4 linked regions of the Kluyveromyces lactis genome follow. The protein of the gene in region 4 purifies or fractionates together with the protein of the main gene of each other region. This does not show direct contact. Links are inferred from orthologs where the notes say so. Each region holds a gene or a part of one and is shown on either strand. Other genes may lie near its edges.

What was found. Proteins that work in one complex are often made in the same cells at the same time.
Region 1: the proteins of RRP6 (region 4) and CSL4 purify together in Saccharomyces cerevisiae (affinity purification with mass spectrometry; 13 studies listed by BioGRID, with this or other methods). This does not show direct contact. The link is inferred for Kluyveromyces lactis from reciprocal best matches to the Saccharomyces cerevisiae genes RRP6 and CSL4.
Region 2: the proteins of RRP6 (region 4) and MTR3 purify together in Saccharomyces cerevisiae (affinity purification with mass spectrometry; 9 studies listed by BioGRID, with this or other methods). This does not show direct contact. The link is inferred for Kluyveromyces lactis from reciprocal best matches to the Saccharomyces cerevisiae genes RRP6 and MTR3.
Region 3: the proteins of RRP6 (region 4) and KAP95 purify together in Saccharomyces cerevisiae (affinity purification with mass spectrometry, with the first as the bait; 6 studies listed by BioGRID). This does not show direct contact. The link is inferred for Kluyveromyces lactis from reciprocal best matches to the Saccharomyces cerevisiae genes RRP6 and KAP95.

What each region holds. Positions count from the first base shown.
Region 1 is NC_006040.1:1,659,302-1,662,294, forward strand, and holds CSL4 (exosome non-catalytic core subunit CSL4), read right to left. Parts: upstream 1,712-2,993; coding exon 818-1,711; downstream 1-817. Other genes in the region: BNI4 (Bni4p), read right to left, coding at 2,028-2,993.
Region 2 is NC_006042.1:1,688,370-1,691,328, forward strand, and holds MTR3 (exosome non-catalytic core subunit MTR3), read right to left. Parts: upstream 1,529-2,959; coding exon 818-1,528; downstream 1-817. Other genes in the region: CHO2 (phosphatidylethanolamine N-methyltransferase), read left to right, coding at 1-636.
Region 3 is NC_006038.1:508,799-513,283, reverse strand, and holds KAP95 (karyopherin beta), read right to left. Parts: upstream 3,118-4,485; coding exon 532-3,117; downstream 1-531. Other genes in the region: long-chain fatty acid transporter ACB1, read right to left, coding at 3,925-4,161, 4,239-4,265. UniProt on the Saccharomyces cerevisiae protein: Importin beta subunit that functions in nuclear protein import through association with the importin alpha subunit, which binds to the classical nuclear localization signal (cNLS) in cargo substrates.
Region 4 is NC_006040.1:113,579-118,428, reverse strand, and holds RRP6 (exosome nuclease subunit RRP6), read right to left. Parts: upstream 3,717-4,850; coding exon 1,482-3,716; downstream 1-1,481. Other genes in the region: IZH2 (PAQR-type receptor), read right to left, coding at 34-960; PHO80 (Pho80p), read right to left, coding at 4,526-4,850. UniProt on the Saccharomyces cerevisiae protein: Nuclear-specific catalytic component of the RNA exosome complex which has 3'->5' exoribonuclease activity and participates in a multitude of cellular RNA processing and degradation events.

The DNA of each region.
Region 1 (2,993 bases), about 1.5 Mb from region 4:
TGACTGGGAAGGAAGTTGTTTTGGGTTTCGATAACGATTCAAGGCCTATATTGTACTTAAAGCCTGGTAGGCAAAACACAGCAACCTCCCATAGACAAGTCCAGCACCTTGTATATATGCTTGAACGTGTTATTGATTTCATGCCTCCTGGGCAAGATTCATTGGCTTTGTTGATAGATTTCAAAGATTATCCTGATGTTCCAAAGGTTCAAGGTAACTCAAAGATTCCTCCTTTAGGGACCGGTAAAGAGGTTTTACACATTTTACAAACACATTATCCAGAAAGATTAGGGAAAGCATTATTAACTAATATCCCGTGGCTTGCGTGGACCTTTTTGAAGCTCATCCATCCTTTTATTGATCCGTTGACTCGTGAAAAATTGGTTTTTGATGAACCATTTCCAAATTATGTGCCACCTGATCAACTCGAGACGCTTTATGGTGGTAACCTCGACTTCAAATATAATCATGAAGCCTATTGGCCTGTCCTAACTCAAATTGCAGAGAAGAAGAGAAAGCATTATCTACAAAGATTTGAGAAGTTCGGAAAAAAAGTTGGACTGAGTGAATATGATTTAAGAGGTGACCACGATGAGTTGAAATTCCCAATCAACTAAAAGTCCAACTAACTTTTCTGATAATAACATATGATATTCAGGCGTTGAATTCACAATGATCTTAGTAGAAACTTCCTCAATATTCCCAATATGCGTGAAGCCTAATACGAAACTAATGTAAATGTAAATGAAAGTTGTAAATGTATGTATGTGAAGGTACCTATAGACTTGAACAAAAAGCTTGTTGTGTTCCGACTATATTAGAAGGGCTTTGCACATTTTCGTTTCTCAGCGACTCCGGTCTTTGGTGAAATCATTGTCTGCCAATCAATTGCATACATCTGTTCTCCAGCTCCGTTAGAAGACTTAGCGAACACCACGCCCAAGTCATTCCTTGCTGTAGTTAAATAGTAATGGGTACCATCGCCAAGTGAGAGCACTTGAGCACGTATTATATCCCCAGGTTTAAAACTTTCCATAACTTTTACTCTATCTCTATCAGTGGCCCTTACATCTTGGGATCTAATTATGCCCCTAAAAGTTTCTCCCAAATCCGCGGACACTTGCGAAACGGAAAACGTAGACGCACCAGATCCACCAGCAGCAGCAATTATGCCAGTCCCATTGCTTCCGACACCAGAGTCGATCGGCAAGGGCGAATTCTCAACTGCTAAAATCTCAACTGTTATTCTTTGCAAACTGATTCTGGTCACCCTCGCCAGTACGATATCGCCCTCTTGCGGAAGGTTATTGACAAACTGGTCATCAACATACTTGCTAGCAAACTTGCTAGGATTTGATACTGATACTTTGAAACTTTTTATAACTCTACTATTGCCAGAGCTTGCATCCCCTCCGGTGGTCTCATGAGATTCTACAAACGTCGTATTCTCTGAGTCTTCTTGATCGTCGTCTTCGATAATATCTGCTGGAACTTCTTCCACAGATACAGAACCTTTTAATGTGGCTACGATAATATCAACGTTCTTGCCGTTAACTCTAAAATTCTCCTGTTTACAGCCAGTGCCCGTTAGGAAGCGTATTACCACTTCTTGCTTGTTATCATCATCAACATCAAATATTGGACATATAAGATCACCGGGTATAACAGTCTGGGGGAAATTTTTAAAAGGCTTCATTTTATAACGATGCATATAGACAAACCTTACTGTTATCAAACACTCTTATTATCTTACAGGCCATATTTAAGCTAGTTTGGTATTACTGTTAGCTCATCGCATAAAGCAGCTCTTTTTTTATCATTTTCATAATGAGTGAAACAATTTTCAAAATTTGGGAGATGTTGAAGACAAGTTAGAATTATTTTCAAATAGTAGGGTAATATTACCAAAGCTTTCAAAGCGGGCTCAACACGAAAGCTACGTGCACGATTTGAATCCATATAAAGGGAAACATAGAAACGCATGGTAAATGATTTAACTACTATGATTACATGTATTTATAGGTCTACTAAAAGAAGTGAGTGTTGCACATAGAATCTTCGTGAATGTCCATTTCTGCTTTAAGCTCATTCAGCTCGTCCTTTATCATTTGGGCCAATTGAGGAGTAAGTTGATTGCATGTTGCCGAATCAGGATGCCTATCATACTCAAGTTCACCATAGGTCTCATAAAGGACTATTTGAGAGGAAAACTTAACAAGTTTTGCTGCATAGCTAGATCTTTCTTCCGATTTCTTCGACATCTGATCTGAGATATGTTCAAGTCCCGTAAGCCCTGAAAGTTCCATGGTACTGTTGAATTGTGGCGCTTTCAAACCCCTAAAAGACATCGATATAGGCCTGCTCATCGATGTTGTGATATCTGGTAAAAATGCGTTGATCTTTGGGGATTCTTTTACTGCATGTATGCCATTAAAATCTTCGTTCTCAAAATCTTCCTCATCATAATTATCAAAATATAAACTGCTATCAGAAAAAGTGTTTTGGTTGCTACTGCTAACATTTTCTGGTGATGTGTCTCTTGTTTTTATAGTACTTGATATGTGTTTCTGATCATCCAAACCAGTCTGTTTTTGGTTGAGTACTGAACTGTTTGTCTTAATTTCTGGGGAGTTAGTAAGTTCCACAAGAAATGAGTTTTCTGTCTCAGTATTGAAGCTGGGCTTGGATAGAGAGTTTTTCACAGATTCTTTGACCGGATTTAGAGTTTCATAGTGTGAACGATTGTCAGAATAGAGATCAAAATTTAACTCGATATCTTGTCCAAAGTCTATTATACTTGCAAATTCCATGATATCTGAGATTAATTCGTTGTCTTCATTATCTGAATCTTCAAGACTAGATTTAGTTGCCTTATTCTGCACCAATGGTTTTTCTAGTTGATCTTCTTGATCAGATTCCATTGTCAGCTCGTTTAACTTTTGCTCTATGGAACCAAAAGAAAAATCTCTCTGTTGTGGTGAAATTGTGAAACT
Region 2 (2,959 bases), on a different chromosome or scaffold from region 4:
ATCGTCAACATCAATGACGAAAATACGATTCGGATTCCAGAAGAAATCGAAATCAAATGGGCCGTTACCAATGAAGCTTTCCACAAAGATGACTGGATTGGACTTTACAAAGTCGTTGAAACTGGTGAAGATAGATTAACTACAAAGATACCATCTCAAGGACATTGGTCGGCGGTATCTTCGAGCTCTTCATATTCTGAAGATCATCAGAAGATTTTGCATTTCGATTCAAATGACCATTTCACTTATGGATCTATAAAATTCGATAAGAGTATCCTTTGCTTTGAAGAAGGTATTTATGAATTTAGATACCACAGTGCTAACAGTCACGATGTTGTTATGATCTCGAAACCTTTCAAGTTATTATTCCCTCAATTTAAAGAAACTGTAAAAGACGTGGACCAATTAATTGCTACCACGAAGCAGTTCTTGAAACAATGTGGTGTTCTAATCAATGATAATAAATTTGATTTGAATAGGAACAAATATTTCACTGGGAAAACATTACAAAACTGGTATAAGTCTACTATGGACACCGATGTTTCCGTTGTTTACATGAAACGTACCAATTTTGATATCGATATTATCACCAAAAAAGTATGGCAAATCAAGCAAGTGTTAGATAACTTGGAATAAATCGCATTCTATTGTACTTAACTATATCTAAAGTATCAACCCATGTATAAATAGGATATGTTTCTAACGAATCCTCACCCTTAATGGTAAAGCCTTGTATATTTTTATTTTGCTAATACAGAAGAAGCGTTCGTGTCACATTAATTATGAATCACTATGAAATTACGTTAACCATTTCATTTCATTTAAGATATTGAACCAAAGTCTGCTTATTTACCAAATATTTTGCCTTGCACTCTTCTATTAATTTTGATATGTCAGTGACGTTATCGTCATCGCTCCAAATACCGACGATTTCATGTCCATTCCTAATAAACGCAACCACAGAGTTATCTTTTGACCCGGCACTCACTAAATCAATGATTTCAATACCTGCGTCTACAAGAGCCATGGTAATAGAATTAATGCATGTGGGTAGAATATTAACGATATTTGCCTCCTCTGTTGGATTACTATTAGAATGCTGGATCAAATCTATAAAGATATCAATACCAGATTTTGGATACTTCTCAACGTTTATCACCGCATTAAAGACATTTGTTAGGAAAGTACAAATTTCTTTAATTTCTCCGGTATTCAAATGTTCTAACGTAACTTCTTTGAACTGAATCGATACTGATGCCTTAGATTGGAAGGAGCCTCGCAATGGCCTGGGTCCGAAGACAGAACTCATTACGAGAACTTGATCCGAAGTACCATCCATATATTCTAGGTATGAGGAACCATTTGCATTCGTTACTAAATCCGTACTAATGAACACAGATTCCTTACCCGATTTATTACCATTACCATCGTCCCTGTTCTCTACGGTTCTTACAGGAGTAATTGCAGCAAACTGCAATGGCTTCGCTTCTGCTGGCCCTAATATTCTTCTTCTATCTTGCACACTCATTAATAGACCTCTCTTCTGTGGGTATTAGTTTAATATAACGATGGGAAACAAACTCAAGTAAATATATGCTGATATGGCACTAGCCAACGTCAACTTGGAAGCATCTCATCGCATGTATATTCACTTGCAAAACGGTCACTAACAGAATACCACGATTGAAATAGTCGAGATGGAAAAATTCTAACGTCATCACGTGATAATATATATGTGTTTCCTATTTGTTTCCCGTTTGTTTCCGTACCGTACTTGTTTCCAAATTATCGGCAGGCAGCATTGGAACTTTTTTACAAATCAACCGACGATCAGTACGTGTGAAATGATTTCTAAACAGAAGAAGTGGCTGTCGCCCGGTATTGTCAAACCAGTAAATAGTAATAGATCCGTATTTCTGAAAAAGAGTCGTGTACTAGCTTTCGGCTCATCACCTCATACGTCAGAAGGAAACGGAGAGAACTGCTTTGTGAAGTTATATAACCACGTGACTAACTGGTGTTTCTCATATGTTTCTCATATGTTTCCAAACAGCACTTGTTTCCGGTTCATGCCAGGTGACCGTTTTCGCAAACCGGTGGAGGGGCAGACGGAGACCCCCCCCTCACAACCTGGGATTTGGCAACTAAAACACCCCACTCTAACCCGCCTTGCCAGTCGTACATACAAAAGCCAGTATCGTTTCTGGGTGTATCATCAAGACAAAGTCAGAAGCTATTCACTTGGACCAGATCGAAAGCCGAACCCTCGCTAATGCTCTCACCAGAAGCTCTTTCATGCATAGGTTTCAAGAATCAAGGCAAGTCATTCGTTCATTGGTTGAACCACCGAAGAAAAGGATGACCAAAGTACATTTTTGAATTAAACCGACTCTGTTAGTGTAACGTTTCTTCCAGGCATCTGGCAGAAATTATAAAGATTTTTGATATTACACCCCACCAATAGCCCAGGACTCTGATTAAAATCAAACTACTCTGCGAATATTGCTCAAAGTCTAACCATATAACTTGGAATGTCCATTGATTCAAACAAGTTGCAGTAGGACAGAATATCATGAATGACAGTTAACCTACAATCTTTTTTCTTGAACAAAAACTAACAATCTAAGAGAGATTGAATCGTAAAAACAAGAACATCAAGGCAGAAAGCCGTTGAATAAGGCCAACATACATCTTTACATAGGGAACAACGAGTATATTGAACTTAATGTACTATCTCGTACATACTTCAGAAGAGGGAGGAAAAGTATTGACTAAAGTTACGGCAATCCAATCTTAAAAAATTTGATGCATAAGTTTTGGCTCTCTTTGTAAGGAAACCTTTGACATCAGATCGCGGTAGCATTACGATGCTAATCGTAGACCAGAGTGATCTAGGGTCATTGTCATATAGCAAGGCGGCTGTACGGGAGCTGCAAAAAGAAAATAATGCTTCCAACCA
Region 3 (4,485 bases), on a different chromosome or scaffold from region 4:
TAAGATGTGAAGTGAAGAAGTTAACGGAAGGTGGGCATAAAGGATCGTTAGAGTGATGTAAAAATGATTAGAAATGGGATGCTAAGAGTGGATGAGTGTGACAGCAAAGAGTAGTGACCATTGTGACATTAGAACGGAAACTCCAGGTTGCTTTAAATCGAGAAAGAAGTTGTATCATAAAAGAGGTAGGTAGAGAAGAGAATAAAACAGAATAATGAGTTATTAAATAAAATACAAGGGTAGAATAATAAGTAGTGCAATAGTGAGAATAAAAGAGAGTAGTAAGTAGTAGAAGAGTAGGGAATAAGAGTAGTAGGAGTAATGAGAATGATAGTAGTGGATCAAAGGAAATTTGAACTGGTCGACTTCTTTATATTAAAAAGGATGAGGGAACTGGCGTCCATAGATCCAATGAACAGTGGTTGGAGTGAATAAACTGTCAAAGGCAGTGAATTATGCAAGTGAGTTGTCTGTGGAAGTCAGTGTATTGTTATTAATAGTAGGCAGGCAAACAAGAGCGAATGAAAAGAATCACAAGTTAGATTGCAACTTTTGTTGTTCTCTTGCCCACCTTGCTGTATCTCTAGTGTTTTGAGAAAAGGATTGATTGGTTTTCACGTCCTTTACAAACTTAATCATCCATGGTTGTGTATAGAATTGTTGGAGCCTTCCGTCTGGGTACATGGCAGCAATATCACCCACTATACCGACTGCTGTTCTTGCAATTGAATCTTCTAATGCAACACTTGGATTATCAGCCAATAAGTTGATAAATTGGAAAATTGAACCTGTGTAAGGAAACAATGCATCTGGTTGGTCGTGTAGCCCTGTTATTATTCCTACGTATGCGTCCAATATTGATTCGTATAATTTATATTGATAATCGAGGGCATCAGAAGAGCTATAATTCGGTTTATAGTTTTGAGCCATGACGCACACGGACATAACTTGGGACAAATACTGTATAAAATCTGATCCAATGTTGGTGGCAATATCACCAAAAACAGAAAGGACTGCAGGTTGTAATTCCTTCTTCGCATCTGGAGAAGAAAGCATTTGCCCAAGAACACTCATGAACGATGGAGCGAATTTCTTGAAGTCATCCTCTAAAGAGTTAGAGATATCAGCAATTAGATTGACGGCAGTGATAGAAACTTGGGACTGTACTTGATTTAACGCATTAACCAAATATGGGGAGAAACTTTCCAAATACTTTTCAAAGTTTTTACCCAACGCAGATGCTAGAGCAGAAATAGCGTAAAAGACATCATCTTCCACGTATGTTGTATCATTCTTGCTCAAAAGTTTCATAAATAGATCCATCAACATATCTGCTACTGGATTAACAGATTGTGGGTTCTTTCTAATCACTGCAGCCAAAACAGATAAAATGTTCGATTGTAATTCATGTAAGTTTTGTCTATCTTCAGCTGTTAATTGAGCTTCATCCACTTGCATTGTTTGTCCAAGTTTATCCAAAACAAAAGTGGAAATTGAGGTAGTAGTTTCCCCGACTTGGTCATTAGCGAACTCTACTAAAGTAGTCAAAGCAGAAAATACAGATGCTCTAGCATTATATTCATTGTCTGACCTGTTTGAAGCTTCAAGCAATGCGCTAACAAGAACTGGATAATAATTGTATATCGGAGAAGAAGGGGTATCAGCTAATTGTTCGACAAGGTTGATAATCGTCCAAGAACAATTGGTAGCCACTTTTGGATGGTCTTTTAACCCGATCAAACAAGCGTTTACAACATCAGAAAGATGGTCTTGAGGATCTATAGCAGCAACGACTGAGTCTGCAATTCTGCCGATGCACCATGCTACTGTTTCCTTCACTTGCAAAACTGGATCCGTTATTAGGTTGAGGATAGGTGGTAACGCTTGATGGACTAAACTAGTCAATTGAGTTTTGTCAGGACCGTCCAATATAGAACCAAAAGCCATCACAGCCGCTTCGCGTTGTCTCCAATTGTCACTGGTGATGTTCTGTTCAACGAAGTGCAAGACAGGTTCTACTACGTAGTTACCACAGTTTTGAGCGAATAGTTGCAAACAAGCACCAGCAGACATTGCCACGTTCCAATCATCATCATCCGGATCTTCATTTTGCTTTGTTAAAAGCTGTAATAGAGTTGGCACCACTTCTTGGATGGATACTAGAGCAAAATTGTAAGATTCCAAGCCTGGGTTGGAGTACTGTGACAGTTCAAAAGCAATATCAATTTCTTCTTCACAGATGGTAGACCAAAATTCAACGGCCATTGCTGCCACCTTTTCATTGGATGATTGTATAGTAGCCACGGTCAAAGCGAATAGAGCTTGTTCCATGTAAGGTTTCATGTAGAAATAGTATAGTGACATGATTTTACAAAGACAACCAAATGCGGCCGCTTGAATATCTTCATCCGAAGCCTGGGTAGCTTCACATACGACTTGCATCAAGTAATTTCTTTCACCCTCACGTTCCATATTATTCTTAATGAATGCAAGCGAGTCAGCCAATGCATTAAGCGCGGTAAGTCTGACAATCTTAGAAGTTTCGTTCGACTGTGCACCTTGAACGATAGCGATCAAAATGTTGTTCGATTGATTGATTAAAGTTTCATCACTTTGGTCTGCACTTTCACAGATATAACCCAATGTCAACAAGGAAGCTCTCTTAACATTTTCTGGTTGTTCTTGAGCGGTATTATCTACCATAATCTTCATCAACTCTGGCCATTGATTCAATGGCAATTCGATCTCTGCAATGGCAGCGATCAACTGAGCTGAAGCGTTGGCAACACGAGTCTCTGGATCAACCAACGCTTGTAACGCAAACTGCTTAATATGATGTCTAGACTCTGCATCGACTTGCGTAGACCAACGTTGAGCAAACTGCTGGGCCTTTGTTGGGTTCTTCGAAATCAATTCGTTCTTCAACGTCAAACCTGCTAGAATTCTAGCTTCAAGACGAACGGACACATCGGCCAAGATCTGAGACAAAAGTCCAGCGAATTGCAAGAAATTATCGTTAGATAATTTCTTCAACGTCGTCTCCGCTTGAAGACGGACCGTTGGGTCCGGAGTAATGATAATGTTTTCCAAAAACTGGGCAACCTCGGAAGCTGACATAACGATTTGTAAAGGGTATTATAACTTACTAGTGTTTCCAAATCCTAGCGGGTCGTTTCAATAGTCAGTCTCCAAAATTATAGAAATAAAACAAGGAACTGCAACAGCAAACGGCAAATAATAAATTTTCACACTTGGTTCACTTTATAAAAGTATCAGTATATCGAATAGCGACGTTAGATCTTCCTTTATTCTGTAATTATTCGGCGCCTACTAACGAGTTTCTGAGTATGAACTCTCGATCAAGTGTCTCACGAACCGTTCTCCCTTGCACAAGACACCTAAACGCAAGGATACAAAGTGAAATGTTTCCCTGTTTCTTGGATCCTAAGTTCTTTTGTTTACGAAATGTTTTCTAGTTGTTTTTGTTTGATAAATAGATGTGAAGGAAAGAAATTCTTTGAAGCTTGGGAATAAGCAAAAAATAAGAAAAAGCTGTGTAGCATCTTGTAAAGCGCGTTTGTGCTACGATTTGGAGTGGAATCAGATGGAAAGTAAAAGAGTCTGTTACCCGGATATATTGCCTAGAAAACAATGTATGAACCCCATAAATGAAGAGAAAAATAGGGATCGTGCTCCTGTTTAACGGAGGGTAACTTATATACTGCTAGGGAAGAAAGAATTTTTTGCCACTCAACTGCAAATAGCCGGGTAAATAGTTGGCGTTAGCTTGTTCACGTGACTTGTAATTCGTGTTTCAAACCGAGTAATAAGGGTATTATCATTAGCTATATGGATCAAGGATAATATATATGTAGATATAGATAGTTAGTTAGATGATGCAATAACTTGCGAGACCATCCAGCTCTATGGGGCGTATTTCTTGATCAATTGGTCAACCAATTCGATGTACTGTTGTTCGGCATCTTCTTGGGAAGTGCCCTTCAACAATTCCCAGGCGTCCCACTTGTAACGGTCCTTCAAGTTGAACATGCCTGGTTTTTCCTTGGTGTTGTCACCGACGGTTGCTTGCTTGTATAGAGCATACAATTTCAACAATTCATCGTTATTTGGAGTTGATGGCAATTCATTGACAGCTTTAGCCTGCAGATAAATGTAAGATGCGGTTAGTATGATTATTAAGGGAAATCAAAAGCCATTGCAACAACGATTCCACATACCTTTTCTTCGAATAATTGAGAAACCATTGTGTTTTGAGTGAGTGTCGATATCTGACGTATTGAACTAACACTTGTCTTTCACAAATCCTTCGTTTAGTACCATGTGTAAAGCTTCTCTTGATTTTGTGCATTAGGTATTTATATGTTTTTTCTCACTGAAAACAACTTCCTCCAGTTTTTGCTTACATGGCACGAAACTTTTCATAATGAACGGCATTAGTATTCAGGTAAGATCTAACAGCTGATG
Region 4 (4,850 bases):
ACTATATAATGTTAGAGTATTCTTTTTATCAGGTCACTGTGACAAAGCTTGATGGACCAGCCCATAAGAGACGACTAGTGCCTTTAAATGACATAGAGCAGCAACAACTACTAGTACATGGAAAAGTTGATGTGAATGTCCCCAAATATCGAACTTTCCCGGGGCAAGCCTTTCGGGAAATCTAACTCCATATAAGAATGCTCCGAAAATGTATAGAACTCCTTCCCAAATGACCCATGTCAATTGAACCCTCTTCCATGTCTCATCTTTCCCATAGACAATAAACCCAGCAACTATCGGGAACACCGCAGAAAGTCCAAATAGAACAAACATAGTGGCTCTGTAAGGTCTCCACTCTCTAGACCTGAATTTATCCTTTAACGACATGTAGCCACAAATTAACCCGAAGAGACTTGTCAAACCCGCAAATGGATAAAACAAAAGACTGCTATCGTGAAATCCATAAAACAATATACTAATCATGGACGTAGATATTAACACAACGATTCCTAAATAGTCTAACTTATTACCAAAAGTTGCAATTGGTAAAGAATGACATTTAATGGTATGGAACATACTACTCATCGTCAAGCAAGTTGCGCACCCGAAGAAGAAGAGATTTATCATAAAATAATCAATTGCTGAAGTCGTAGGGTACTCGTTGATAACATGATGCGTAGCAAATAGCATAATAAAGAAAAGGGCTACTGCAGGTATAAGGTGTGTGTATATGTTAACACTTTCATTGTGAAGATAGAACAATGAATGGAAAAGCTCTTTCCAGCTCTGGGTCTCTCGTACATAGCCATGCAGGATGTGCTCATTATCCTTTTGCCAATCTGGAATTTCATCCCAGGAATAAACCCTTCTCTCATAAACTCTTACAGTTTTCTTCGTTCCCGGGGTCTCTTCGATGAGGGCGGTCTCTTCAGTAACAACGGACCGTTTTCTAGTGCTCATAGTTCAAACTAGGATTTCAGATAATAGGATAGATAAGCTCTTGGAGTCGTACCCGTTTAATTTTTCTGCTCTTTATGTTTGATCAAAGCAGTTCATTGCAGTATGCATTAAAAATTCAATCTCATTATATATACTACTTAGGGCTAAATCTCTTTTAAATGCCATGAGATACCCTTATTTATACACTCTTATAATTCCGCGTAGTAAACAAAATTTGAATATCAACATTCCTTTTTGTCAGTTCCAACATTTTCGAGAACTGTTGGCTAATCTGATGCACTGCACATGACTATAGATGAAGAAATTAGGATAGACTGACTACTGTGAAAAGACTCCTTGCAACTGGAGGATCTTATGGGCAGTCTCAGAAAAGCTCAAGTTATCCAATCTGTGTCTCAATGCCTAGGCAGAAGTAGCTATTTCTAAGGAAAAAAACTATTACGCAAACGAATTAGTGAGCGAAATTAACCTGTAAATATGACTAGTTCGATATTTATACCATTAGAGCTGCTCAAGATGCTCTATCTTTTGAATGAGACGTTCTTACCCTTGGCAGGTTTTGATTTTTTCTTGATAGGCTGTGGACCGACATGTTCAACAGAGTAAGGATCGAATCTTCTTTTTTTATGCTTCTGTGAGTTTGTATTATTCTTTGTTGAGTTCAATAGGTCGGAGCCAGCAGCATAATCCATAATCTCATGACTTGCAGGTGGACTGATAGTCTTTCGTTTGTTGTTAGATTGAGATTGTCTTTTGCGCAACGTAATTACTTCATCCTTGTTCTCTTCAATCTCTTCCTGAGAAGGATCAGACGTGATGACTTCATTTCTGTTTTCATCGTTAGATACTTGCGTAGGAGCTTCATCCTCATTTGACGGTAGCACAATACTCTGAGCTTGTCGGTCAGTGTATTCTTGTTCTAACGTCCTTGTTATTTCATGCTGACGCTTTAATAATTCATGTTGTGGAATGAGCGTTCTCGTCTTTGGTGTATATCTGACGGCAGTATTCACATCCAAGTTTGAAATACCATTGAATAGGACAGATTTCTCTGAATTTTGTTCGTTATTCAGCTTTTGAGAGTTTATTTCCGAAGCAAGTGAATGAAATATATTCTGAATGGATTTAATTTGGGACGTTGTTATTATATTGGCCAGATCGGTGCCGTTACTTTCGGCCGATTCCAAAAGTGGGATCGCAGAAGAGTTGGAATTTCCTTTGAGATCCTCTAAAGTTCTTTTGATCAAGTTTGCAATGACCTTCGAATTTGTTCTTAAATGCTCTGAAACGTATGAGCTGACAGACAATACGTTAATGGGTTCGGTTGGTGCACCAGCCACCAACGATACAAGTAGTTGGTTTGGCATCACGTAACGAGGAGATTCATCATCCCTCCTGGCGATTGTATCTCTCCATTCATAAAGTCTACGGAGAAGTAATTCCTTTGAAGCCGGAATATTGTACTGAAACATAATATTCTTCCAAGGTTCATCCTTTTCAATAGGTGAAAACACTGCTGAAGACGGAACCTTTGGTCTGAAACTACTATATTCAAATCTTCTTTTAGCCACTTTTCTCGATTCATGCAAAACATCGGACATCTTATTCTGTTCCAGTAGAGAGTTCCTTAATTTATCGAAAATATTTAGGAGAAAATGCGTATCAGCTCTTGCATATGCAAGCATAGGCTTGGTCAACGGTCTGATTCTCCAGTCTGCCAGTTGATATTTTTTTGAAGTCTTGAAATTAGCAAATCTTTCGAGAAGATAGGCCAGACTGTGTTTTGGAAAACCTAACATCCTGGAGGCATGATAAGTATCAAAAAGGCCAACAATATATAAGCCTAAATCACGTTGAAGCCATATGATATCCATGAATGCACCGTGCAGAACTTTAGTAACATTAGGGTCGGTAAAGATATCATTCAATATGTAAAGTTCCTCTCTCAATGCAATAGTATCTACAATCCAATCATGCTCCCGGTCACTAATTTGCATCAAACAAACTATACCATAGTAAGACCTATAATCATGATGTTCTAAATCGATTGCTAATTCTGTGGCTTTACTTAATTCATCTTTCATTTTGTTAAGGCCTTCAACGGTGTCAACCCAAATTGCTTCAGTTTCATCCCAGTCCTTTGATGGGATCGGTTCTGTTGCAACAAGAATGGAGTCATTGTATTTTTGGTGGTCGATCTCATATTCGTATGGATGTGGGTAATGGGACGGGATGGATTCCTCTTCTGGGACCATCTTCAATGAAATTTCGAACGGTTGTAAACTATGGGGTTTGTATTCCAATAATGGCTTGAAAGGATGAAGTTCTGTGTTATCTACAGGAGTTTTAAAACTTAGTTGAGGTTTTTCAATCCTCTTGGATGGTTTATTGTTCGAACGATCATCATCATTTAGATACTTAAGTGATGGACCTCCAGCGTTTCCACCATTTCCGGCTCTAATGTTGTCAAGTGCATGATCAGACTTTTCAAATAAATTATCCATAATATTACTTATGGATTTCCAAGAATCCACAAAACTGTCTTTCCCTTGCTGAATTACATCATTATTGGGATCAATAGACAAAAGCAAGTCGTTGATTAACGATAAAATGTTCGTAGAAGTGTCTTCTAATGATGCATTAATGTTGGAATCTAAACTTTTGTAGAAATCGATATCCTGTGCAGCCAATGCACTCGATGATCTCACAGTTTGAACCAAACTGGAAAGTAACGTATCCTTATCCTCTGAAGACATGGTGGATTAGAGTCAGCTGGTAGTCTACGGGGGATTCAAAACGGGGCGAATCGTACTGCCCTCCAATATATTACTGTCTTTGACTACCAGATGAGATGAGATGAAGAAATATTCACTAATCAAAAGAAATCAGAAGAATTCAAATCCGGGTAAAATTTAGATGTTCTCTGCTACTGATGAAAATGATTCATTCAAAGAGTCGGTAGTATTACAGAGAGAGTCAGACCACGTATCACCACCGCCGCCATTGCCTTTCAACGGCTACGTTATAAGTTAATTGGCTACTAGAGAACTAACTATATAATCTTGCATAACTTCTGCTTCCTCTACGATGTACGGATTTTTTTTCAACTAATGTTGCAGCATCTCTCATCTCAATATTATAAAATGACGCTAGAAGCAGACAGCATCAGCTGCTCCATTTTATGGCAACCAATTAAGTATAGCTATATAGGGCGGCTAACCTGTAAGAGTAAAGATGGCACAATTGAAGGAAAGTAATGCAAAATCCTGAAACATTTAAGTAGTGAAACTATACTTTAATACTACATGCTTTTTCATTGTAATCTTGGGTAGTGATTCAATAACTTAAAAGTGGGTCAATTAATGTCTAATTTCCGTCTAGACATTATGAAGTGAATATTGATGAGTATTGCTGCGATGAAAAGAACATCAACAAAAATGGGAAACCATTTCAGTATCGTAAAAGACTCATAACACATTTTGCCAACCATCTTCACAAATTCAGCGAAAGATAAATTGAATCCGAAGTTGATTCCATCCTGGCAATGAAATAAATTAAAGGAAGGTCAACTATTGAAATGACTTGAAAGCTTTTTGCCGTTGCGTAGCAAAGTGCTCTTTCTATCCATATTGGTCGGATCATCCTCCTTCATATTTCTCTTTTGTGGAATGGTGATCGGAGGAGAATCACTATTCTCATTAACAGAAGTTTCTCGGGAACGAGTTTTCCGGTGTTCACTCAGATTAAAGCTATCGCCCTCGGTTATAGATGGTGAAACGATCCTGCCCGTAGTGGATATAATGTTTGTGTTTAATCTACCATTTCCTTTATCTTTAAGATTGTTCTTGATTGTTGTACTAGGCGGTACCAAGGTGCCACCAATGCCAGGA